5 linked regions of the Kluyveromyces lactis genome follow. The protein of the gene in region 3 interacts with the protein of the main gene of each other region in a pairwise test. Links are inferred from orthologs where the notes say so. Each region holds a gene or a part of one and is shown on either strand. Other genes may lie near its edges.

Region 1 (4,265 bases), on a different chromosome or scaffold from region 3:
TGGTTCTTTATGAGTAAATACAGTTTAGGTATTCAAAAATGCACTTGCACACAGGCTGCCGTCTTTATTTTATTTAGGTTGCTGGTGGTTTGGTTCTTCAAACTATAGAACTTTTGAATTGTGTTAGTTATTTTTTGTTGTATTGGATAATGAATTTATTCATATTATGGATCTGCCGAAGTACTTAACGATAGATGCCAGACCGACGGGTATCAGAACACGAAATGCTTACGGGGGTATTCTAAAAAAGGATCAGGTAACATTGAGTGTTTTTGTTTCTAATTATACGTATCTCAGTTTAGCTTTTATGTCTATACCCTTATTTCTCCTGTAACTCTCATTTACAGATTAAGGTATTTAATAGTAAGAATTTCATGTGATTTGATGAGATGAGATAGGATGGTTTAAAAAGTGAATGTAATGGCCAGAATAGAATAACAAGAGCAAAAGTTATCTGTCTATATAACCACAATGTCAGGCTTCAGTTGTGAAGACGAGTTGCATTCTCATAACCATGACCACGGTCACAGTCATGGCGATGATCACGGACATGGTCATAACCACGATCATGGACATTCTCATGAACCACCTGCAGAAACGTTCTCTAACCAGTCCCTATATACACATATTGACATGACAAAAGTACAAGTCCTGAATGGAGTTAGCAATGATAGGTCAAGTTTGGTTTCAAAAAGCTTTTTGAAGCCGCAAGATGAGAAGTATAATACTTCCCTTTACTTAGAGTCAGACGCAGACTGTCAAGTGTTACTTCAGATTCCCTTTACTGCATCTGTTAAAATATTTGCAATTATATTACGAGTTAACAAGGGTGGATCAGGGTATAGTACACCAAGACACATTCAGTTGTATAAGAACTACAATAAGAATTTGGACTTTGATACCATAAACGATCTGAAGGCGGAGTACACCGTCGAGTTTCCAGACAACGTCGGTATTGAACCAGATTATAATAATGAATCATTATTTGATGATGACACATTTATCAAGTTTGACTTGCCAAGGAATATCTTCCAGAATTGTGAGAACTTGACTGTCTTAGTGAAGGATAACTGGTCGGGTGATGAGGATGACCTTAATAGATTATATTTCTGTGAGTTAAGAGGTGAAGCGACAGGGAAACTAAGAAATTCAGGAGTTCCAATTGTTGCAGTGTATGAGGCGGCTCCGAACCCTGCTGATGTGAAATTGGAATCGCAAACTATTAATTACGCCTCGTAAAGGGCAGTTCTGTTCAAGAACAAAGAAAAGTTTGTGATAGTAAGACAAATCAACCTAAAAATAGTTGCATGGTATATATGTATATCTCGTATGTTGAAATGAGCATATAGTCGTAAGGAAATGCGACTCCACCTCTTCTCACGGGGTCACATCCGTCCCTGTCCGATGTCGTTTTTTATTTTCACTTTCACTATGGAATCTAAGTGAAAAAAGAACGATAGAGAGATAGGATCAAATTCAGGACCACCAGAGTAGGAAGTGTGGTATCGGATAACCCCAGTGACCACAAGCTCTATCATGGCGGATGCAGACAAGATTATTAAACAGTCTGAGGCGCTTGATCAACTAGCCAAACTAGTGTTATCTCAGTCCCAAAAAAAGCAGTCGACTCTCCCGTCTTTAAAAGAGGAATACGAGAACAAACTGAAGAACGTTGATGAGCTCATCTCGATGATTACATCCGTTGAACTGGATAAAGAGAAGTTCTCAAAAATGATTTCGAAACAAATTGAGATTATTCAGAAAGACGGTCAAGAATATGCTCTAATTCCAGTACAAAGAACTCCTAAACAAGCCAAATTTGGAAAACGAAAGTCTAAAGCTAACAACATTAAATGTTCTTATTGCAATGAAACTGGACACCTCCGATCAAAATGTGAGAAGAAACTCTTGGGAGTTCCACCATGATAGGTAATGTGTTCTATTATTACATATGTGAATAGTGTGAGAGTGGTAGACTCGAATGATATTTAACAGTTATAAATTATTCCTTTCTGCAGCAGGAACCCTGTTTTTCGCTGCTTCTTTCGTTTACTTTCTTTCACTCATTAATTCTCTTCTGGTTGCATCTTGAAGTAGGTTGGTATCCACCATAGATTTCTTCAAATGTACATACCTCACAGTAGAACCTCTGATGAACATGTTCCTCACGCTTGATAGATGTGGATATTTTTCATTATTGTTGGACGAAATGTTGTCTAATTTTAAGTTCAAAAATTGGTCGACTGATTTTAGAGTACCTGTTAGTTCAATACCGTTCTTTAGTTCGACTTTGACTTCATGATCAACCAGGGTCTTGAAAAATGAAAATAATAGCATGGTTCTGGACAGTACGGCCTTGGTTCAGAGGTCCATGCATTTGACTTTTGAATGTGTTGTAGTTGTATTGTCAAATTTCAACATGAAATTGTTTTAAACAATTTCATGTTGAAGGAAAAAAAAAAGATACATGTACAAAATTGACATACACAACTTCATATGTAGAAGTAGAGAAGCTGCTGGACTTAAGAGGACTAGCTGGGATATTTTTACGTCGATTGCTGAAATAAAACTATTGCCAAAACATTCAAGCTAATATGTGGGGCTAGATAGTAAATAGACAAAAATAAAATGATAATGATAAAGATTGTAACGAAACAAGAAAGTAACGTAAAAGTACGTAGAAGTACGTGAAGGTACGATATTTTCAAAAGTTAGCATCACGGTTATCTCGTAGTTCTCACTTACTCCTCTGCAACATCTTCTCTCTTCTTTAAAACAAGGGGGTGACCAGTAATCCTAAAGTAGATATCCTTGACATCGTCGGTCATGGATTCGAAGTGAGATGAGGAATCGTAAGATTTAGAGATGTAAATGTTGTCTTTAGTGCCATCTTCGATCGGTTCAAAGATTTCTGAAATACCCATGAACCTCTCCTCAATTGGGCCCAACATTTTGAAAGCCGGCTCTAATTCGATATGAGGTTTATCAGTTTCAATGATGGTTGATACACTGGCGAGGTAATGACCCTTCGAAGTAACTTTATGGGCGTCAGAGACAGTAGCAATATAAATGTCGTTCTTTCTTCCAACTTGTGATTGTGGTATAATTATTTGGCAAGAATCAGCATTACTAGTGTTAGGAACAGGTTGTTTAGTGATGCAAATTGCTCTGATCACCTTTTCACCTGTAGTTTTACATTTCTCAGGGAAGTATGTTGGATCTGCGATGACTATTGGTGCTTTTGCAGTACCTTCTTTGGTGACAATACCTTCGAATTTACCATCGTCTGAGTATAAAACCTTTTCAATTGGGGTATTTAGCATGTATGTCCCACCGTAAATAGCTGATAATCTAGCAAATCCTTGAGGCAATTCGCCCAACCCATACATAGGGTAAATATATGGAGATTTACCAAACCTGGAAATCGATTGCACATATAGGATAATTCTTTCCACTGATGGTCTAGCAGGTTGTTGCAGATAATCGTCATTGGTCCAAAGGGCCATTGCGTGTCCAATAAATTCTCTGGTTGAATTTCCTAAGCCAAATTTGTAGTATACCTCATCCATAGTGTTTTGATCCAAGTTTAAGCCCTGATGTGTGGCGATATCTTCTTCATTGTATGCACTGATCCATTCCAAGAACTTCTTCATCCTTCTTTTCTCGAAGATACCCAATAAAGAAGATGAAATAGCCTCCATTTCGTTAGCAGGAACTTTATATACTTTACCTCTGTTGTAAACGTACGAGCCAGCAACTTGCTTGAACTCGATATATCTGGTGACGTCAGTATGAACCAAAATGTTAGTCAATTCACCATTCGCCATCAAGAACTTAGGAATCAAATCCACGTTCCAATCTCTATCCTTGCCAAACTTTGACTCAATGTCTTCCTTACTCAAAGGATGTTGTTTGAATTTAGAGTATAGTTGCGTTAATGTGACACTGGATGATTCACCACCATAATGGTCCTGTCTGTCAACATGTAAGACTTTTTTCCCCTCGATTGAGAGTAAGCCAGATAATATACACTCGGTAAGACCTGTCCCAAGGACGATAACATCATAATTTTCGTCCATTATTACAAGCTTTTGTCAATTCGACGTTCTATGAACTAGGTCCAACGTTTCCTATCTAGTTGAAGGTAGCCCTACGTTTGAAGTCGTTATTGTTTTCTTGCTAAATACTATGATCCTCCCTATTATTGTTATTTTTATTGTAACAATCGCACTTTCTTTATTTTCAACACTAATTCAAGGTTAAAA
Region 2 (4,297 bases), on a different chromosome or scaffold from region 3:
TACTTTTGATCTTCTAGGAGGCATATCATTTGGATCAGGAATAAATTCTACAATCCTTTTGACAACCTTATTGTTAATATTGTATTTTTCCACCAGATATTTAGTCGATTCCCAGGGTATCCAGGTCCCCTGGAATCGTCCATAACCACCCTGAATCTTTTCATGTTTAATTTCATTGGCCTCTTTCTCCAAGATCTTGGTTCTCTGAGCCTTTGTAAACGAACCGGCTTTGAAAACTTGCGTTATGTTCAACCAATTATCGTTGCATCTTCTCATGATAAGGCATGGAGGTTTATCTTTGGTATAACATTCATATACATCAACGCCCGCGTATGTAGCAACTTCAATGAAAGTTTCCGATTCGCTGTCATAACCACTTGTCTCCGCCATAGTAGGTTCCTCACTGATTTTCTTTAAACTCCCATCGATCTGCCTTTCATCGATCATCGAAGAGGATGCTCCCGTGGATGAAGAAGAATTATTGGTAGCACCACTATTAGCTCCTAATAAATTAGAATTGAACGGTTTCAAAAGTGTATCATTCTCAGAATGATGATGAGTGCCCATGTGCATTTGAAGGATAGATTCCTTGTCAAAAACGTTGCCGCTATGATGCGACAAGTGTTGTTCCATAATTACACGAAAGAAATAAATGCACACGAAATCCTAATTGTTTTAGACAAAACAAAGCAAAGAAAAGCACGCCAGAGTCAACAAAGCGTTTCGAGTCGAGTGTCACCTTCTGCTGCTGCTTCTGCTTCTGCTCCTGGCAATGTGATCTCAAGCTCGCTCACTTTGTAAAATTCAACGTAAAATATACCACGCAGTTACGGTTATTCTAGCTTTTCCACCAGTGCCCAAAAATGTATCCAGATATCGGAGTAGCAGACCAAATCAATCTCAACTGGAATGCTCTGATATTTAGCTAAGTTCACGTAGCCTACAGACACTGTTAATAACAAAGGTATACACAAATCATAAATGACATTGTAAAGTGCGTGAGAAAGTCTGCTTTCAAAAGATTATAATCTTTATTTTAAACTGTGATCAAATCTCTTTACCCAATTGGGAAAAGAAAGATTAGATGCCTCACCAAAAAAAAAATCTCAGATCTCACATTTCAAACCTCACTCCAGTGTGTTCCCATATTCAAAGCTGAGGCAACCTTTCAAAACGCCTAGAAGGGTCCGTATGACACGAAGGAGTAGGGGGGCAGAAACAGTCTTAAAAGTGAAAAAATAAGAGAAAAATCAATAATCAGATTATATTCACGTGTCAGTATTACCCGGGACACTCACGTGATTCGAAACTTTTAAGTGTTACCCGGTAAATGAATTTTATGAAATGTCGAGAATGCTTTTTCCAGCTCAATGAAATTTGGAAAAACTGAAGTTATATTGTAATTGGAATTTAAATATTGTCAATGCAATTGTATGCATTTGGTTCGTCCTACTAGGGAGTGTTACATAACTCAAACTACAGATACGCAGATAAGCAACAAAGTCTAATTCATACTTTTTTCCCTCACATTTTTCCTTCTCCAGACAGACAGAGTCCTAATTTTTTGGTATATTGTATATTGTTCCGGCCCCACCCTTTCCTACGATTAAGTTACTACGGTTTGAGATACCTAAAGAAATACGACAGCACGGGCACACTATAATTGGTAAAACAGATCAATAAGTTATAACATAAAATGCTTCCATTATATTTATTGACCAATGCAAAGGGTCAAACAATGCATGTTGAACTAAAAAATGGAGAAACTGTGGAAGGTACGCTATCTGATGTAGACAATTGGATGAACTTGACACTTTCCAATGTCACTCATGTAGCTAGTGGAGAGACTTTGAAATTACCAAGCTTCTATTTGAAAGGTTCTTTCATCAAGTATGTTAATTTGCAAGATGATATCATAGACAAGGTAAAACAACAATGGGGTCAAAACAGAGGCGGTAAAGACGATAGAAGAAGAAATAACAACTACAATAATAACAATAATTATTATCAGAATAGGGATGGTAACAGAAGAGGTGGTAGAAGAAACTATCAAAACTCAGGTAACAGAAGGGATTACAACAACAACAATAATAATAATAATAATAATAATAACAATACTCACAGCCATAACAATGCAGGATCTCGTCGTTATAATATTCAAAATAGATCACAATACGATGCATCATCCAATCCACAGCTTTCGTATTCGCAGGCGTCAAACAATAGTAATCAAACTCCACAATTTTGATTTAACCTCTTTTCTCAGCATTTAATTCTTAAGTATTTGTGTGTCTACATGGTTACATATTCAATCACTTTTATTGCGGTTAAAGAGACTATTTTGTTGGCTTGGACGGTCAAAAGTCTATAAAAACATCTGTTTCGATTGCATTCGATGCGATATCCTAAACCTTTTTCTCGTTACTCCTTTCACACTTTTGAGATTTAAAACTGAATTTGGGTTATGAAATTAAAAGAACTACCTATTAATTATGATTCAGAGTTAGTGAACCTTAAGTTCAAAGCAGTATATCAGTGCTTTATATATTAAGAGTATGTGAGCATGGGTACCGTGGAAAAGATCAAATGTTGTTATTTTTTAAATTACTCTATACAAAAATGCTTGGTTTAGAAAGTCCATGCTAGATATGCAGTATTATATAGGAGAAATATGAGACTCCTGAAGAGAGCCGGACTTTTTTTTTTTGGCCTCACTTTAAATATAAGAGGCGAACTTATTTAGCCTTGTTATATTCATTCAGCTTACCGATGAACCACAATGAGCTTAGGTAACTTAAAGATCCAAATGCTGTCCAGCAGAGAATGTTGAATAACGTACTATAACAGACAAATAGGAAAGATGAGATGAAATCTCTGTATCTGGCAACAAAAATCAAATACAAAATAGAGTACGCTTCCATATACCATGCAACTGCACCACCCATATGAAATGCCTTCCATCTCCATGAATGACATGCTTCTAGAACCCTTCCTATAACGTTGTCCCATTTGAAATTCAAAGAATCATTACCATAGTTTAGATGAATGTAACAACCAATAATGGATAGAAGGCAGATACATATGCAAACGATAACAATATTACTCAAAAGGAATCCGTATAAGTAATACAGAGTAGTCTTTTGTAGCCAAAGTGATTTGTAAGCAAATAACAACTCCACGTATATTAGAGCAAATGGAATAAGTCCAAAGGTGAGAGTGATCGCAATAGGATTTTTTAAGACGAACGGAATAGAGTTCTTACTCTCAACGTACAAAGGCCTAGTGTCATGTTTGTTCACTTCTGCCAATGCAAAGCTATTAAGCAAAGTATTTGTGGAGTTAACTTTTAAAAACCTATCGGCACATTTCCCACCAATGATTGATATTGGAACGCAAACAATGAAATAAGCACCAAATAGTAATGCAACGGTACCATGGGGTAAAGTATTTGCAGCATTATTGGCCTTAAGTATGTAATTCAATAACAAAACGATAACCAAAGTAATTCCCGGTAGAGTTGATCCGAATATGATTGAATTGACCAATTTATGTTGAGACATTTGCCCCTCAAGTAGAGCACCGATGAAAGATGATGTAAAACTACCACTGATAAATAGGAATACTGCGCAGGTGAGTACAGAGCTGCCAATACGATGGGTATGATTCAATGAACAAGAAATAATCAAAGTTCCAAGAGTGGTGAAAAGGAAATGAATACCCATAGAAACGAGCAAATTCAACTGAAAGAATAAAGGAACTCTAGCCTTCGACCATTCCGCAGCTAGTTGAGTGGTAATCGAACCATCAGTTTCCTGTCTTTTCAAAATGGCTATGACGATCAAAAGCAAACATGAAGTGACAATTATACCATTAGCGAAAGTAATCCAATGGAATTGATTTGAAGTCGATTCCTTTAACTCTCCACCATTAATGAAGAAATTCCATCTGTTTTTCCAATCCACTTTGAAATCTTCTCTCCAATACACGGCATAAGTGAAGGAGATAAACTCAATATCCTCATTAGTTGGGTCGATCTTATAGGGAGTATAATCCTTGGAGGCGCCAGGACAGTGATGATCTGAAACGGATTTCGGATAGACCTCAAACCCAACAATGGTATTTTTGCCCTGATCGATGGTATGATAACGAATTACAATCATGACATGGTTATTAATATAGGCCTCATCAGTTTCTGGATCGTATTGACCCAGTGGGAACCCCGATGAATAGTATTTTTTCTTATCTTTGGTGTTAAGATACGTGGTAGCACCTGGTAAATCATCATCGGCCAACCATT
Region 3 (5,905 bases):
TTGAGCTCTTTTTTCTTTGAAAACAATAGCTTACGTAGTTCCAAGTCATAAGCATCACTGGTAGCCAAGAATCTTGGCCCAAATTCGTCAAAATTAGCTCCCCTTAGAGGATGGAACCCGCATAATCCTGGGAAATTGATATGGTCGTAGACACACATTAAATCCCCAGCCTTAAAGGAGGCATTGATACCACCGGCTGCATTTGTTACGATCAAGACATTGATTGACCCCAACAAGTGCAATGCACGGATAGGATGCACTGTTTCTGCTAAGGAATGGCCCTCATAAGAATGCAAACGGCCATTCATTAAGACGACAGGCGCACCGTTCATGTAGCCAAAGATCAACTCACCACTATGTCCAGGTACGGTGCTGACTTTGAAGCCAGGAATGGTCGAATAAGACAGAATCAATGGCTTTGGTTCATCAGCGATCTTGGTTGAGATTCCACTTAAACCAGATCCACAAATCACAAGAGCCTTTGGTAAAAACTCGGATGAGAAGTGATCCTCGAGTTTCTCTGAGATGTATCTGTGAGCAGACTTTATAAGAGCACGTTGCTCATTGATGTCAAGTGAGGACATGTTGGTTCGGTGAGTCTTACTGGGATCTTATTTAGTCCCGATTGGGTTTGTTTGGTATTATTATTTTGGTCTACCTTTTTATCTTAAAAATCATTTGATAAGCTTTAAAGTTTAAAATGCAGAGAGATGATAGAATGAAAGAAGATGATGAATGGGAAAGGTGCTCCAGAAATCTGATAAGAGAAAAAGTGTTATTTGACGATAAGACCGATACTGCCATAAATTGGCGTTGTTTTCAATCTGATTGCGTCTGTCACAACTCCGCAGAACTGCAACTCAACTGAATCAGTCTGTGTACAATTAAAATGCATTTATATACATTGTGGGTACATAAATTAGAACCTTACTGCACGTCATTTGCAGCACATGGTGATTCCCACAGATTTCACTTGAGCATATGTTTGGAGTTCTCACCCCCATGGTATTGACAGCCGTACTATCCAGGGACATAGCTTAAGTGATTCAACAGGCAACCATATACTAGCATAATAAGTTGTGCTGGTCGATATAGTAATATAAGACGGAGAAAAAAAAAAGAGAGGATAAGTAGATTGAGTAGATTGATTGGCTATATTGTATGATTGAGCCATCACGGTTAAGACCGGCCAGTTTAGTAATACTGATTCTTTTGAAATTATCGTAGTAGGACAGGCGATTGGAATGAATGGAGGAAGAAGCTGATTGATTAAATTTACAGGCGATAGCGCCTGAAAAAGAAAAAATGAAGGCATTCGTATTCCAAACCTGGGCATACAAGCAAAGGTGGGGAACAAAGTCCAGGAACCTTTAGTGGAATTCGTAGAGATGGTTAGTATTGAAACCCACGATTCATATTAATTCAGGGCAAAAAGAATAAGACCCTATAGAGCAACCAAATAAAGTGTGCTGAAAAAGTGCATTGATTATGATACATTTAGTTATAGTCAATTTTGGTTAATGTACAATCAACATTAGTGAGATTTTTGAAACGCGCAAGGATTGTCGAGTATTTGAAAATATTCAATAGCGTCTAGAGGTACAATATGCGTGGTATGTGGACAAAGCCTAATTTTTTAACAAATACAAAATAATGACAAGAACTGAAATTGGACCTGAATTTCAACTCATAGGATCGACTTGGGTTTTGAGTAGTAAAAGTGGGAAATTAAGATAAAAAAAAAAACTGCTCCGTTAGAAGCAAGCATTAAAACAATGCTTAATTCATTATTGAGGAGCTTGAGTGTATTGTTGTTGTGGGAAGCCTTTTGATGGGAAAGGTTGAGGTGGATAAGCCTGTTGTTGGTAGTTTTGCGGCATTAGAGGCTGACCATATTGCTGTTGTTGTTGGTTTGGGAATTGTTGATATTGTTGTTGTTGTTGTTGCTGTTGTTGTTGCTGTTGCTGCTGAGGAGGAGCATGGAATTGCACTTGAGTTTGTTGAGGAGGCAACGGTTCAGCATTTGCAGGTTGTTGGGGAGCATTTGCAGTGATTGGCAGGGATTCCAAAGGGAATGGGATTGGGACTGCGGAACTATCTTCCGCAACGTACAAGGATTTATCAATTTGAGATGGGATAGGAGCAATTTCGGTGTTTAATTCTTGCTCGATCTTGTACAAGTTGAATCTATCGTTCCAGTTAATCAAGTTGATAGCCAAACCCAAGTGACCGAACCTACCAGATCTACCAATACGATGCAAATAAGTTTCGGCAGTCTTTGGGAAATCGAAGTTAATGACCACATTAACGGCTTGAATATCGATACCACGAGTTAACAAATCGGAACAAACCAACGTACGAACTTTACCTTGGCGGAATTCATGGAAGACTTTGTTTCTTTCGGATTGTTTCATTCTAGCATGTGAGTAGTAACAAGAAAATCCTAATTCAGTAATTTTTTTAGCCAAAAGTTCGACACGGTTAGTAGAATTACAAAAGATAATTGCTTGGTTGATTTGCAATTTACTGAACAAAGTGTTCAAGCAATGAAGTTTTTGTTTTTCTTCCACGAATGCATAAAATTGTGATATACCCTTTAGTGTCAATTCATCCATCAAATTAATCTCATGAGGGTTTTTCAAATGCTTCACCATGAACTCTTTCACGGTGACTGGGAAAGTCGCACTGAACAAAAGCAGTTGACGACGTTCTGGTAAGAACCCAAGTATTTGTTCCGCCAACACTTTAAAGTCACGACTTAACATCTTATCCGCTTCATCCATAATGAACAAATGACATTCGCTCAAATCTGTCACTCTTCTTGATGCCAAATCTAGCACTCTACCGGGCGTACCCACCAAAATGTGTACAGGTTCATTTAATCTCATGATGTCATCTCTCAAATTCGTACCACCAGTGGTAACCATACAAGAGATACCACAGTGTTTCCCTAGCGTGCGCACCACTTGTGATGTTTGCAAAGCCAACTCTCTTGTAGGAACCATAATCAATGCTTGAATTTTGTTCAACTTGGGCTTCACTTTTTCCAAAGTTGGTATAACGAACGCTGCCGTCTTACCAGTACCGTTCTTGGCACGCGCTAATATATCCTTCCCGGCAATGGCAACGGGAATAGCTTCTTCTTGGATTGGGGAAGGCTTCTCAAACCCTGCTTCAAATATACCCATCAAAAGTTCTCTTTTCAAATAGAAATCTTCAAACGAACGACCCTTCGTGTTCAACACATCATCAGTCTGAGGCCTCGTATCCTTTTTAGGAATATTCAACTGGGTCTTCCAGTCGTTATTACTTTCGCTTGTATCGCTGCCCATATTATCAATTATCTTTAATATTCTTTGCAGATAAAGTTAAACCTTCTTAAATAAAGCTTCAATGAATTAGTCAATTAATAAAATTAGTCAATTAGTGTATATCCGGAAACTATGCTGTTGCTAATATCACAGAGTAGAATGTATAAATACTATACCTATGACCATAATACACATGTTATACTTTTATTTCCTCTTGTGCCTCTGTAATAATTGTTCAAATTAATTCTAAACTTCATAATTTTTTCTTCTTTCCAGAGTGGAGGGAAGAGCAATGTTACCCTACTGAAGCAATTACAAGTGCGGGTAACGGATATCACCCTTTTCACAAAATCCGAATTGTCACGTGATAAGAAAAGTGAAGACATGTCCGGGTAACAAATATGCCAAGGGCTAAGCTCAGCACCGTGAGGCTTCTCTATCACTTGTAGCGATAAGGTACGATGCAGTGCGAATAATGGGAATGCCTAGACAAAAATATATATAGATGTATCAGCGCATATGAGCGTACGTTGAAATGAGAATGCTCGAGGCAACTAGGCATTCCCATTACGTTCAATAGCAGAAGTGACTTCCTTTCATTTTCTTGTTCTATTCGTGGTTCCGTTGAGGACCACACTAATTTATCATGCACCGTATAAATAAAAAGTAGCGTAATAATTAAGTAATGATAAAGAAAGCCTATACAAGGCTAAGCAGTAACTCAGAAGAAGAAAGAGACGATTACTGAGGCAGCAAGGAGTGTTGCAAAGAGCCAACGTGTGTTGTTTTTTGGAACCTGGTGGGGTCTTTCTATTAGGGTTTCTAGTTGCATTTTAATTTTTGTCTCATTTTACAATCATCTGAGCCTGTAAGTTTGGCTTTGGTATTAATATCTATTATTGATCGTAAAACTTTAATATCTCCAAAGAGAAGAGGCGCAGAAAGTGGTGAACATTGAGGTCAGATTGACTTAAAAGCATATGATTACACGTACCCAAAACGGCTCGATGTTATTGAATCGAATAAACCATGAACCGTCGAATGATAGTGCAGAGGGATCGTGCAATAGTTTGTTCAAACCGAAGACTTTGAAACGGAAGAATTTGAAGCATTTGACTCTAGAATCATCATGTTCATCATCATCTTCCTCTCCTGACGAAATACCGAAAGGTTTTAGTAATGGAAATGGTCCAACACTCAGTTTGATGTTGGAGAAGCTTCCGGTCCGTGAGGAAATAAGTCCAATTAGCAGAGACACTTCATTCCAGACGGTTTCATTCCTTCAAGGGAGTTCTAGTACATCAGATATATCTTCCATTGTCAGCGGGACTACACCAACCACAAGAGATGCTCCAATGTCACTTACTCCTACAGGAGTCAGTATGATGCAACAGGAGACAGATGAAACGGCCACATTGACTACTCAGATTGCTCGACTTTCTTTAACCCCAGAGAACGGAATTCAACTCGAAAACCTTGTACGATTGAGCAAGATTGGAGCGGGAAATTCGGGTACTGTGGTGAAGACTTTGCATGTACCTGATTCTAGAATCATAGCTAAGAAAACTATACCAGTAGAGAATAAGGAAGTGCTGAAAAATCAACTTGTTAGAGAACTAACCATCATGAAAAATGTTTCAGCCCATGATAACATTGTTGGTTTCTACGGTGCATTTTACAATCCATCCACCACTAACGAAATAGTGATTCTTATGGAATATATGGATTGTGGCTCGTTAGATAAGATTTTGTCAGTTTACAGATCTGATTGCCATAGGAAAAACGTTTCTATATCGTGCAAGACATCGTGGTTCAACGAAATGCCTCTCTCAAGGATCTCCTTTTGTGTTTTAAATGGACTTATCTATCTTTATGACTGCTATAAAATCATTCACAGGGACATCAAACCGTCCAATATATTGATAAACTCGAAGGGAGACGTAAAGATCTGCGATTTTGGTGTCTCTACTACTCTAATTAACTCTCTTGCGGATACCTTTGTCGGAACCTCCACTTACATGTCACCTGAACGTATCCAAGGTGGCAGATATACTACTAAAGGTGATGTGTGGTCATTAGGTCTTATGATCATCGAGCTCAGTAGTGGTGAGTTCCCACTAGGTGGACATCACGACACACCAGAAGGGATTCTTGATCTTTTACAGAGAATTGTCAATGAACCTGCTCCAAAACTGTCAAAAAATGAACATTACTCCATAGAAATGACAGATTTCGTGAACAGGTGTTGCATTAAGGAGGAGAGAGGACGATCATCTTTGAAAGAATTGATATGTCATGATTTCATCTGTAAGTATAACAACAGAGACACTATTGCAAAAGAATTCAGGCATTGGTGCAAAAAAGTGAAGAAGCGGATCAAAGAGGATAAGATGATAAGAAGAGAAGAGACAGAGAGAAGTAAGATCGAAAAAAGACAATTAGAGAAAGCAGCGTTGGCTGTTACAGCCGCAAGGTCTTCGAGTACAAGGCGATGAAATAAATTAAGAAATTGCACTATATTAGGATAAATTGATGTCCTAGTTTGCATCTCATCTCAATAACGATCATTATTACAGGAACGGACTATGGATCAG
Region 4 (5,284 bases), about 220 kb from region 3:
GCAGCAAAGGAAGCCATTTTCCACAAAGGTCAGTCGAAACGTATTTGGAACGAATTGTACAAGGTTATCGATTCCTCCGATGTCGTCATCCACGTATTGGATGCTAGAGATCCTTTGGGGACTCGTTGTAAATCGGTGACTGATTACATGACCAATGAGACTCCTCATAAACATTTGATATACGTCTTGAACAAGTGTGATCTTGTTCCTACATGGGTTGCCGTATGTTTTAAACTTTCTTTTTAATCTTCAGTGATTACTACTAACCGATTATACTTTCTAACTGGGAGTGAATACCACAGTATCTTGAGAATACCAAAATTCTTTGTCAGGGTGTTTCTGCGTACATTCTAGTACAACTTACACATACAGAAGGGCCTGTTACAGTTTTGGAAGAGCAATACTACCCACCCTCGATCTATCCATCGTTTTGATGGAGTCATGGTTGAAACCTAGTTGAACAATCTTCGTTTTGAGGATATATCAGCGCTTTTATTTCGGGTACGGAGGAACTTAAGAGTTGAGCTTTGGATCTGAAAAGAATTATTATGCCATGGCTCGTAGTAAAGAACCTCACATCACCACTAATATACTCAATACAGCATGGAGTCAACCCCCAGTAGAAAGCATAATTGGTTATTGATTCACATATGTGATTACAATTTTACTAACACGATTTTCCCTATTTTTGATTCTCAACAGGCAGCATGGGTAAAACATCTATCGAAGGAACGTCCCACATTGGCATTCCATGCCTCTATTACCAATTCATTTGGTAAGGGTTCGTTAATTCAACTTCTACGTCAATTCTCACAACTGCATAAGGACAGACATCAAATCTCTGTTGGGTTCATTGGATATCCAAACACCGGTAAATCCTCAATCATCAACACTCTAAGGAAAAAGAAGGTCTGTCAAGTGGCACCTATTCCTGGTGAAACTAAGGTGTGGCAATACATAACTTTGATGAAGAGAATCTTTTTAATCGATTGTCCCGGTATTGTACCGCCATCCAGCAAGGACAGTGAAGAGGATATTCTATTCAGAGGTGTGGTAAGAGTTGAACACGTTTCGCATCCTGAACAATACATTCCAGGTATTCTAAAACGTTGTAAGAGACAACATTTGGAAAGAACCTATGAGATCTCCGGATGGAAAGACTCTGTAGATTTCATCGAAATGATTGCAAGAAAGCAAGGTAGACTATTGAAAGGTGGTGAACCAGATGAAAGCGGGGTATCGAAACAAATCTTGAACGATTTCAACAGAGGTAAGATCCCATGGTTCGTACCACCACCAGAGAAGGACAAGATTGAGGAAAAGGAACCTGGTGATAAGAAACGTCCTGCAGAGGAAAATCAAGAAGATCAAGAAGAGGAAGAGAAGGAGCAAGAGGAACAAGAAGAACCTGTTTCTAAAAAGGCCAAAAAGGAATAAACCAAACACTTCCTCAATATTTAATTCTCTCCAGACACGGGCATCGCTTTATATATAGACACACCATATACAATCTTATCGGATCTATCGTTTTTGTACATTAATATCAATCGGATGACTTAGGCTAAGTCTTGCACATAGAAATTTATTAAATAAATAGTAGAAAGGCTGGATAACACCGAACGTTGTGAAGCATGCAGATCAGGGGCAGAAACACTGGACAATGGACCCATTCGGGTCCACTGTCCATTGAGAAGTGGTGCCAGTGGTAATATCAACACCGTACACAATGACATTTCCCTCGAAAATTCTGTTTCTGCCAAAGAGGAACGAAACAGGAAAGCCTTTAGCATTAGATAAGGAAGAGACAGAGACATATATGGTTGGAATACGATTCAATTCTGATTTAAGAGTTGTCATTTAGGACTACTCCAGTAAGTACGATAGAATTTTAATGCAATCTCTTAATAGTCAGCTCGGAGGATTGCCAAATTCGGAGCAATTTTTCGGGAAGGGCGCTGTTCAGCAGCAAGGGCCAGTTGGGATGAACGGGATGCTTTTCTCCCCTTCTATGAATAGTACTCGTATGATGCCTCAACAGTCGCAACAACCACATGTGCTGCATGGGCTTGAGAACAATGGGGGTCTTCAAAATTCGTACTTGTTGAAACAGAAGATGGATGTGGTAAACAGTGCTTTTGGGCAGCAAAACAACTTACAGCAGCAGCAGCAACCGGGAAAAATGCCGTTGCCGAATAATGGGCAAGTTCCTATGATGATGCAGAACAGCATTTCCGGTGGTAACTCTAATAACAATACGATTCCACAGCAGATGCAATTTCCAATGCCGGTACAACAACAGGCAATGGGAAACGTGAACGGGCTTGATACAACACCATTACCTAATGCATCTCATACGCCAATCTCGTCTCCAGCGCATCTTTTGATCAGAGAAGTGTGGCAAAACAACGTAAACTTCGAGTTTGCCATAATCCGTAAAATGATCGAGCAATACAAAGTTATTTCTATAAGCACCGAGTTTGTCGGTACGATAGCGAGACCCATTGGGAATTTCCGCTCAAAGACAGATTACCATTACCAGACGATGAGATCCAACGTGGATCTACTAACCCCAATCCAGATTGGACTTTCGTTAAGCGATTTACAGGGGAATAAACCAGACAACTTCCCATCCACATGGCAATTCAACTTCCATTTCGACGTAACAAAGGAGACCGTGAATTCGGAATCGTTAGAACTATTAAAGAAATCCGGTGTCATCTTGGAGAGACATCAACAGAACGGTGTTGATTTCGACGAGTTTGCTCAGTTGATGATGGATTCCGGGTTATTGTTGAACGATGAGGTCACGTGGATCAGTTACCATGCAGCATACGATTACGGGTTCTTAATCAACAGGCTCATGAACACAAACATGCCCAACAACAAAGAGGACTTCGAATGGTGGGTTCAGAAATACATACCAACGTCGTACGATTTGAACCTAATTAACAAGTTAGTTCATGAGGTAACGCAACAACACCCACATCCACCACCATTACATCTATTACAAAGTCAACAGCAACAGCAACAAAACCAACAACAGCAATATACACTAGAACTACTGGCTGACGAGTTGGGGATTCCGATCTTCCCATTGTTCAGCAGCGCAGCGGGACAAAGTCTCTTGGCACTATTGGCATACACCCAACTCGGTAAATTGTCTTTGTACAAACTACGCAATGGAACAGATTTCAGTTACTACAAGAACCTGATCTACGGAATCACACAGGAGTAATATATGTGATTTTTATGTGCCAGCCTTTCATATAGAGTATCATCAATAATGCATTTATGTATGTGAATATATATATATACATACACAATCATTCTTAAAATAGGGTATAAAAGGTGGCTGACTAGCCACCGTCACTGAACTGAACTGATGCTGACCAGTGCGAAACCCACAGGTTGCAAGAGCGCAACCTGTGTACTTCATTCACCTGGCATCTCGTGAGGCATGATTTCATAAGATGATTGACGAGTTTTCCATTAAAAAATTTTGAAAATTGACTCTTTACATATAATCACTAGATGCAAACATGCACATACTTTGCTTGTGAGGGGCGTTTCTTGTTGTTAGGGTGTCTATTTGGTTCGCTTATCGGTTTTCATGCATTCATTAGAAACCAGACTTTAATCTTTAGCGATAAGTTTGAAGCGTGAGGCACATATACGGTGTTCGTAGTGCTGAAATTTCCCGTGAGTCTGGAAAAAAGCACCCATAGGAAATTAATACTTTTTTGTTATTGTATTCTAGTATACCCTATACTTTCCTGCTTGAATATCCACCGTTAATACACTTGGATTAAAACGTTGTTAGAGCGTTATTAGAGCGTGCTTTTCCCTTCTTTTTTTTTTTTTTGTTTGACAGTTTTATTTTTAATTCATTCAAAGGTCTTTCTGATTGACAACGATTGACTGTATTGCATTCATTTCATACACTTTAGCATTCCAATTTGATTTTTTGATACCCGCGATCGGTTTGAAATTGAGAGTTATCAAAGAATAGTTGAATTCTTTTACAAGAACCAGTGTGTTTTTTCCTGTTTAGATTAATTTGATACAATCACATTTGGTTTGGAAAATATGACCACTTACGATGTGAAAGAGATCGGATATGCGTTCCTAAGGACGTACTATGAACGTATGCATAATGATCCATCGAAATTGTCGTGTTTATATTCTACCACGGCGGAATTGACCCATGTGAATTATAATGAACCTATCAAGCATGACAAAGATTATTTAAACACCGTCAAGTTGATTGGTAAGGATAACATCAACAATTTCTTTACCAGAAACAGCAAGCGTGTACAGGATTTGAAGGTCAAGATTGATTCGTGTGATGTGCAATCTACTGGGTACGAGAGTTCTTCGATTCTGATATTGATATTAGGGGAGCTATGCTGGACGGATTCACCATCTTACAGATTTTGTCAGTGCTTTATCCTGGAACCAGCAGAGTATAACAGTAAAGTCTACGATTTGAAAAACGATATCATTCGTTTCATTCCTGACCTTGCTCCATTAGTGAACCCAGACCAGCCAGTATCACCACCATCTGCTGTTGTTGTTGAAGCTGAGAATGAGAAGCCAAATGTCAACGGGGACGCAGCTCCTGTTTCTGTTCCTGTATCTGTTTCTCCAGTAGTGGTAAAGGCAGCAGCGAAACCGGTTGAGATTGTCAAGCCAATTCCAACTGAGAAGCAACAGCCCTCTACTGCTCCAACGGAAACAAAAGTGGAACAACCCCAAGCCGTTTCAGTAAATAAAACTAAACCTAAGGAAAATGAGGCGATTGCGCCAGCTACTGCTCCTGCTGCTATTGCAGAAAAAGAAAAAGAAGACAAGGAAGACGAAGCACAAGCACAACCAAAAGAGCAAGCGACTTCAGCATCAGCCACCCCAACCTCAACGACAACCCGTTCTGAATCGGTGCCCCCACAAGAGGTTCCTGAAACAGAAGTCACCCCAAAGGCTGAACCAGTGAAAATGACTTGGGCAGGCAAACTCAACAAGACATCTAAACTAACTACAAACTACATCAAGGTAGATCTTCCACAAAAGAAGTCTAAAAGTCCACCTCCAAACGGATTCACCAAGTCAAACAAGAAAAGCAAGCAGCAATCGAAACCAATAGGCGACGTTATCATCCAAAACAGCAGCGGTTTCTACCCAGTATACGTGGGTAACACAAATGGGTTGACCGCATCCGAACTTGAAAGAGCTCTAATAAAAGAATACGGTGATGTCGTAAAAACCTCATTCCAAGATTCGTTCGCTG
Region 5 (4,222 bases), on a different chromosome or scaffold from region 3:
TAGCGAAAGAGAGATCGTTCGAATCATCAAAGAGAAAGCGTGCTATATAGCATTGGATCCGAAAGAAGAAGAGAAAAACTACACAATGCACGGAAAACAAACAATGTTCAGACTGCCAGATGGGAAACAGATTGAACTTGATAATGAGAAATTCAGAGCGCCAGAGATTTTATTCAATCCTCAGTTAATCGGTTCAGAATTCCAAAGCTTGCCAGAAATACTATACGAAAGTATACAAAAAGTAGATCTAGATTTACGAACATCACTATTTTCTAATATAGTATTCAGCGGTGGTACTACAATGATACCAGGTTTTGGTGATAGAGTTCTAAAGGAGTTGAAGTTAAGTTGCGAACCGCAGACAAAAATCAAGATATTCGCACCACCAGAAAGAAAATATAGCACATGGATTGGAGGATCGATACTCTCTGGATTATCAACGTTCAAAAAGATATGGGTGACAAAAAAGGAGTGGGAAGAAAATCCAAGATGCGTACACGCCAGATTCCTATGAAAAACATTCACGGTAAAACAAGTCAACAAACGAGACAACAAGGATATATAATCTATCATAACTATTTTAAACGCTTTCAATGCAAAGAGGAAAGGTGTAAATGCCATAAAACTGAGAGTACATTAACGAAGAGATTATTTAAAGTGAAAAAAGATGCGAGAACATAAGTATTATAATTGCTGTTTTTGAGTTATGATTGCATTGAGTTTTAACAATTTACTTTTCTAAGCAAGTACGTAAACAATAATGGTCAACAACGATAAGCGAGGGACATTAGCGTAAATGAATGGACAAGACGGCGATTGTGCAAGTTGTCAGGTCGTGAAATTCTATAGAGTTTGCTTAGATGCAGTAGTATCTGTCACCGAAATCACCCAAACCTGGCATTAAATATTTGTTTTCGTCCAAACCTGCATCTATAGCACCGGTAACGATTCTGACATTTGGGAATTTAGCATGGTAGTTATCGATACCTTCCTTGGAACAGATTAAGTTCAAGAAGAAGATTCTTTCTGGCAACACACCTCTTTGAATCAACACTTCGGTAGCCATGATAGCAGAACCACCAGTAGCTAACATCGGATCCAACAAGAAAACGTATCTATCAGCGATATCTTCAGGTAGTTTTTCATAAAACAACTTTGGCATAGCAGTTTCCTCATCTCTTTGAATCAAAATCTTACCAATACGAACCGATCTGCAACAGTCTCTCAAACCTTGTTCCATGGATTCACCTGCTCTTACAATAGAAACACCGCAAATCTTACCTAGGAAGGAACAACCTTCGAATTTCTGGTTTGTGTCAGTGGTAATAGTCTTTGGAGTTACTGGCAAATGGTTCAAACCTTCTTCGACCAACAACCTGATGATTCTATCAGAGTAAAATATGAAATCAGATCTCTTAGTAAGGCTATCTCTGATGATAGTGTACAAGCCAAGCAACTGCTTCGATTGTGCCAATAGATGGACATTAGGAAATGGTTGTGTAGAACTCATATTATTTTCTTTTAGCAGCAGATAAACCTAAGTGAAGTTCGCTTTGATGCGCTAATTGATTGGTCTTCAGTAAAGAGTAAGAATACTACAGAAAATATTATTCAAACAGATTTGCAGCAACAAGCGAAAAGAGAATTTGAAACGTTAAAAGAACAACTCTCACAAGAGATATATACTCACATATATATAAATGAACACCTGGACGCAGTCGGTTTAAAGAATTCAAGATATCTCTCTAATCAGTCGATGCGATGAGATACGGTTTTTTGGTCGAAATTTAACCAAAAAGCTTTGCTGATGTTAGAAAAAAGATTCAATAAGTCACGTGAACGCACATTTGTGCAGATTAGGTCTTGATAAGTGAGATGTAGCCGGTTAGGAAAGTATCTCCGTTGGAGATACTTATTTCATTAGATACAGGTAGAAATGTGGATATGGGCTCATAGTGTGAGTTTGATATAGCACTGAACGTTATATAGCACTATTAATGAACATATATGGTACACTGTTGCTTGAAATTTTTTTTTTTTGGGTCTTAACTAGGTATTGATGATCTCAGCACCTTCGAGGGAACATAGCGAAAGTAGAGCTGTTCCTCTTATGACGACCAAACCAATTTTTTTGGCTTGGTCCTTGTGGATGATGGTTTCATCTTCTGGGTCTCTTGCATATTCGACGGTTTCGTCAAGAACCAAGTTCATTAGCTCGTCATAACCCTTTAGGATTCCAGTGACCAGTCTTCCCCCTATGAACTTGACACGTACTTCTGTGTCCTTATATTGTGCAAGATTTATGATAGACTCACGCTTTGGGCCTTCGAACTTCTTCTTCTGCTCTTGTCTCGGTTGTTGTGATTGCCTCTGCAGAGAAGGGGAATGTATAAACTCTCTAACTGTTAGTAAATTTGAACTTAAAATGTAGAATGGATCATTGTTTTGAGAAAGTTGAAGAAGTTTTAGAAAGCCGTCCTAATTATAGTAGTTAACATACTGCTTCGCTCATTATTAGTAGTTGGTTGGGTGGGGTAGCGCTGTTTGCTCAATGGGTTATTGTCAAAGTGTGTTACTGGTTTCAAATTAACTTTTCATTTAAGTTTACGGAACATTGAAAAATTCGATGTTCAAACATGCCTGGACAAAACGACAAACATTGAACTTACAGCATCGAAGACAAAATAAAACAGAGGATATATCAGCACCGATAATGTCATCTGACGTGGAAATTATATCCGATTTGGTTAACACTCAGATCTTTGTGAAACCTGGTACATCATGGGACCATCTGGGCCAAAGATTGAACGAATTGACCGGTGTTGATGTTCAAGACATGAAATTGGTGATAAATGGCAATGCACAGAACAGCAAGTATTTGAAAGATCTCAAAGACCAGAAAGTAGAGAAAATCCAGTCCATAAAAGTGATAGACACCAACGAAAACAGTTTAGCAAGCCAATTGAAAAATGATTTGCTACATGCTAATAGCGATGACGTTTCGTTCCGATACACCATGGACGATTATGAGAACAGAAGGGATTCTGTATTACAATGGAAAAAAGATAACAAGTTAGGGAAATTTAATCCTGAATACCGCTCTAAGATGGAAGAACAACTACAACTGAATATCGATAAGGCAGAACTATTACAAAAACACGTTGGAGAAAGATGCAGAGTACTGTCCAACGAGGAAACAACGACCGATTCCACCAAGGTCCCCGAAAGAAGAGGATGGTTACGATACGTGGGAAAAGTTCAAGAGATCAGTAATACAGATGTATGGTGTGGAATTGAATTTGACGAACCTGACGGTAAGAACAATGGTACATTCCAAGGAACGAAGTATTTCGGACCAGTAAAAAAGAATTACGGCGGGTTTGTGAGACCTGCCGTTGTTGAAGTAGGTCCTCAATTCACGCCATTAGCTGACGATGAATTGATGCTCACAGATGATGAGTTATAGGGAGTTGATAATTTACATAAGTTTAATTATATTCTCGTCCTTGGCCTCGTGGATGATACTCTGAACTACGGAAATGACACCTGACACACACGTGACAGGGTCTACTACTGAATGAATTCGTAATTGGTTTGAGTCGGGTGTTGTGCCGTAGCTGGTAAAAAGGCCACGTTGCGACTTCGGTTCGAATCTTCCTCAGAACACAAAGTCTCTGTTCATATGAACCTGGTTACAAAAAGATCAAATATGGCAATTCATTTCCTGTTCTCAACTTCATACTAAGCCCTTGAAGCGCTTCAAAGAATATTCACTCTTAAGTATAAGGTGGATGCTCGTTACTTTGAAGTGTTTTGAGAAGAGGTCATGTGATTTGAATGTTCTACTTGATCAGAGGAGTTGTTCTCCTCATTCCAGGTGGGAAATTCGGTGGAACGCAGCTGTCCGCTCGCCGAGGGTTCAAACCCCCGGTGAGTTATAATCAAGCAAATCCCTAACGGGATTTTCGCTTCGTGAGAAGGTTGTTTCTAATGGAACTTCAGCTTGAGCCCTATTGTCGTTGTTATAATAAATCAAGTCGCCAGTTCTTCTCTAATGGAGACCACGTGACATGGGAGGGACAACGGACGGACAGTTTAGCTTGTCATTTACGACAATGCCTAGTTGAGTGCAATGCAGGGAGTCTGCAACTTACGCAGATAACACAATACCGATTACCTTGTGTCTGAGGAGCATCTTTTTTTGGCCAGTCATATGGCAATG

Evidence for each region. The genes of interacting proteins can lie anywhere in the genome.
Region 1: the proteins of DHH1 (region 3) and LSM2 interact in binary tests that used the Saccharomyces cerevisiae proteins (3 or more experiments, as listed by UniProt). The link is inferred for Kluyveromyces lactis from reciprocal best matches to the Saccharomyces cerevisiae genes DHH1 and LSM2.
Region 2: the proteins of DHH1 (region 3) and LSM4 interact in binary tests that used the Saccharomyces cerevisiae proteins (3 or more experiments, as listed by UniProt). The link is inferred for Kluyveromyces lactis from reciprocal best matches to the Saccharomyces cerevisiae genes DHH1 and LSM4.
Region 4: the proteins of DHH1 (region 3) and POP2 interact in binary tests that used the Saccharomyces cerevisiae proteins (3 or more experiments, as listed by UniProt). The link is inferred for Kluyveromyces lactis from reciprocal best matches to the Saccharomyces cerevisiae genes DHH1 and POP2.
Region 5: the proteins of DHH1 (region 3) and LSM7 interact in binary tests that used the Saccharomyces cerevisiae proteins (3 or more experiments, as listed by UniProt). The link is inferred for Kluyveromyces lactis from reciprocal best matches to the Saccharomyces cerevisiae genes DHH1 and LSM7.

What each region holds. Positions count from the first base shown.
Region 1 is NC_006042.1:854,128-858,392, reverse strand, and holds LSM2 (Sm-like protein LSM2), read right to left. Parts: upstream 2,338-4,265; coding exon 2,050-2,337; downstream 1-2,049. Other genes in the region: KLLA0_F09251g (PITH domain-containing protein), read left to right, coding at 472-1,239; KLLA0_F09229g (uncharacterized protein), read left to right, coding at 1,537-1,926; GDI1 (Gdi1p), read right to left, coding at 2,742-4,079. UniProt on the Saccharomyces cerevisiae protein: Component of LSm protein complexes, which are involved in RNA processing and may function in a chaperone-like manner. Component of the cytoplasmic LSM1-LSM7 complex which is involved in mRNA degradation by activating the decapping step.
Region 2 is NC_006041.1:1,854,691-1,858,987, forward strand, and holds LSM4 (U6 snRNA complex subunit LSM4), read left to right. Parts: upstream 1-1,696; coding exon 1,697-2,248; downstream 2,249-4,297. Other genes in the region: SBF complex DNA-binding subunit SWI4, read right to left, coding at 1-633; TMN3 (Tmn3p), read right to left, coding at 2,736-4,297. UniProt on the Saccharomyces cerevisiae protein: Component of LSm protein complexes, which are involved in RNA processing and may function in a chaperone-like manner. Component of the cytoplasmic LSM1-LSM7 complex which is involved in mRNA degradation by activating the decapping step.
Region 3 is NC_006039.1:1,451,082-1,456,986, reverse strand, and holds DHH1 (DExD/H-box ATP-dependent RNA helicase DHH1), read right to left. Parts: upstream 3,333-5,905; coding exon 1,788-3,332; downstream 1-1,787. Other genes in the region: PNP1 (purine-nucleoside phosphorylase), read right to left, coding at 1-584; mitogen-activated protein kinase kinase STE7, read left to right, coding at 4,292-5,806. UniProt on the Saccharomyces cerevisiae protein: ATP-dependent RNA helicase involved in mRNA turnover, and more specifically in mRNA decapping by activating the decapping enzyme DCP1.
Region 4 is NC_006039.1:1,667,598-1,672,881, reverse strand, and holds POP2 (CCR4-NOT core DEDD family RNase subunit POP2), read left to right. Parts: upstream 1-1,891; coding exon 1,892-3,235; downstream 3,236-5,284. Other genes in the region: putative GTPase NOG2, read left to right, coding at 1-222, 703-1,437; BRE5 (Bre5p), read left to right, coding at 4,087-5,284. UniProt on the Saccharomyces cerevisiae protein: Acts as a probably catalytic component of the CCR4-NOT core complex, which in the nucleus seems to be a general transcription factor, and in the cytoplasm the major mRNA deadenylase involved in mRNA turnover.
Region 5 is NC_006041.1:2,036,571-2,040,792, reverse strand, and holds LSM7 (Sm-like protein LSM7), read right to left. Parts: upstream 2,513-4,222; coding exon 2,501-2,512; intron 2,371-2,500; coding exon 2,050-2,370; downstream 1-2,049. Other genes in the region: ARP1 (actin-related protein 1), read left to right, coding at 1-514; FUR1 (uracil phosphoribosyltransferase), read right to left, coding at 857-1,510; ALF1 (Alf1p), read left to right, coding at 2,714-3,466. UniProt on the Saccharomyces cerevisiae protein: Component of LSm protein complexes, which are involved in RNA processing and may function in a chaperone-like manner. Component of the cytoplasmic LSM1-LSM7 complex which is involved in mRNA degradation by activating the decapping step.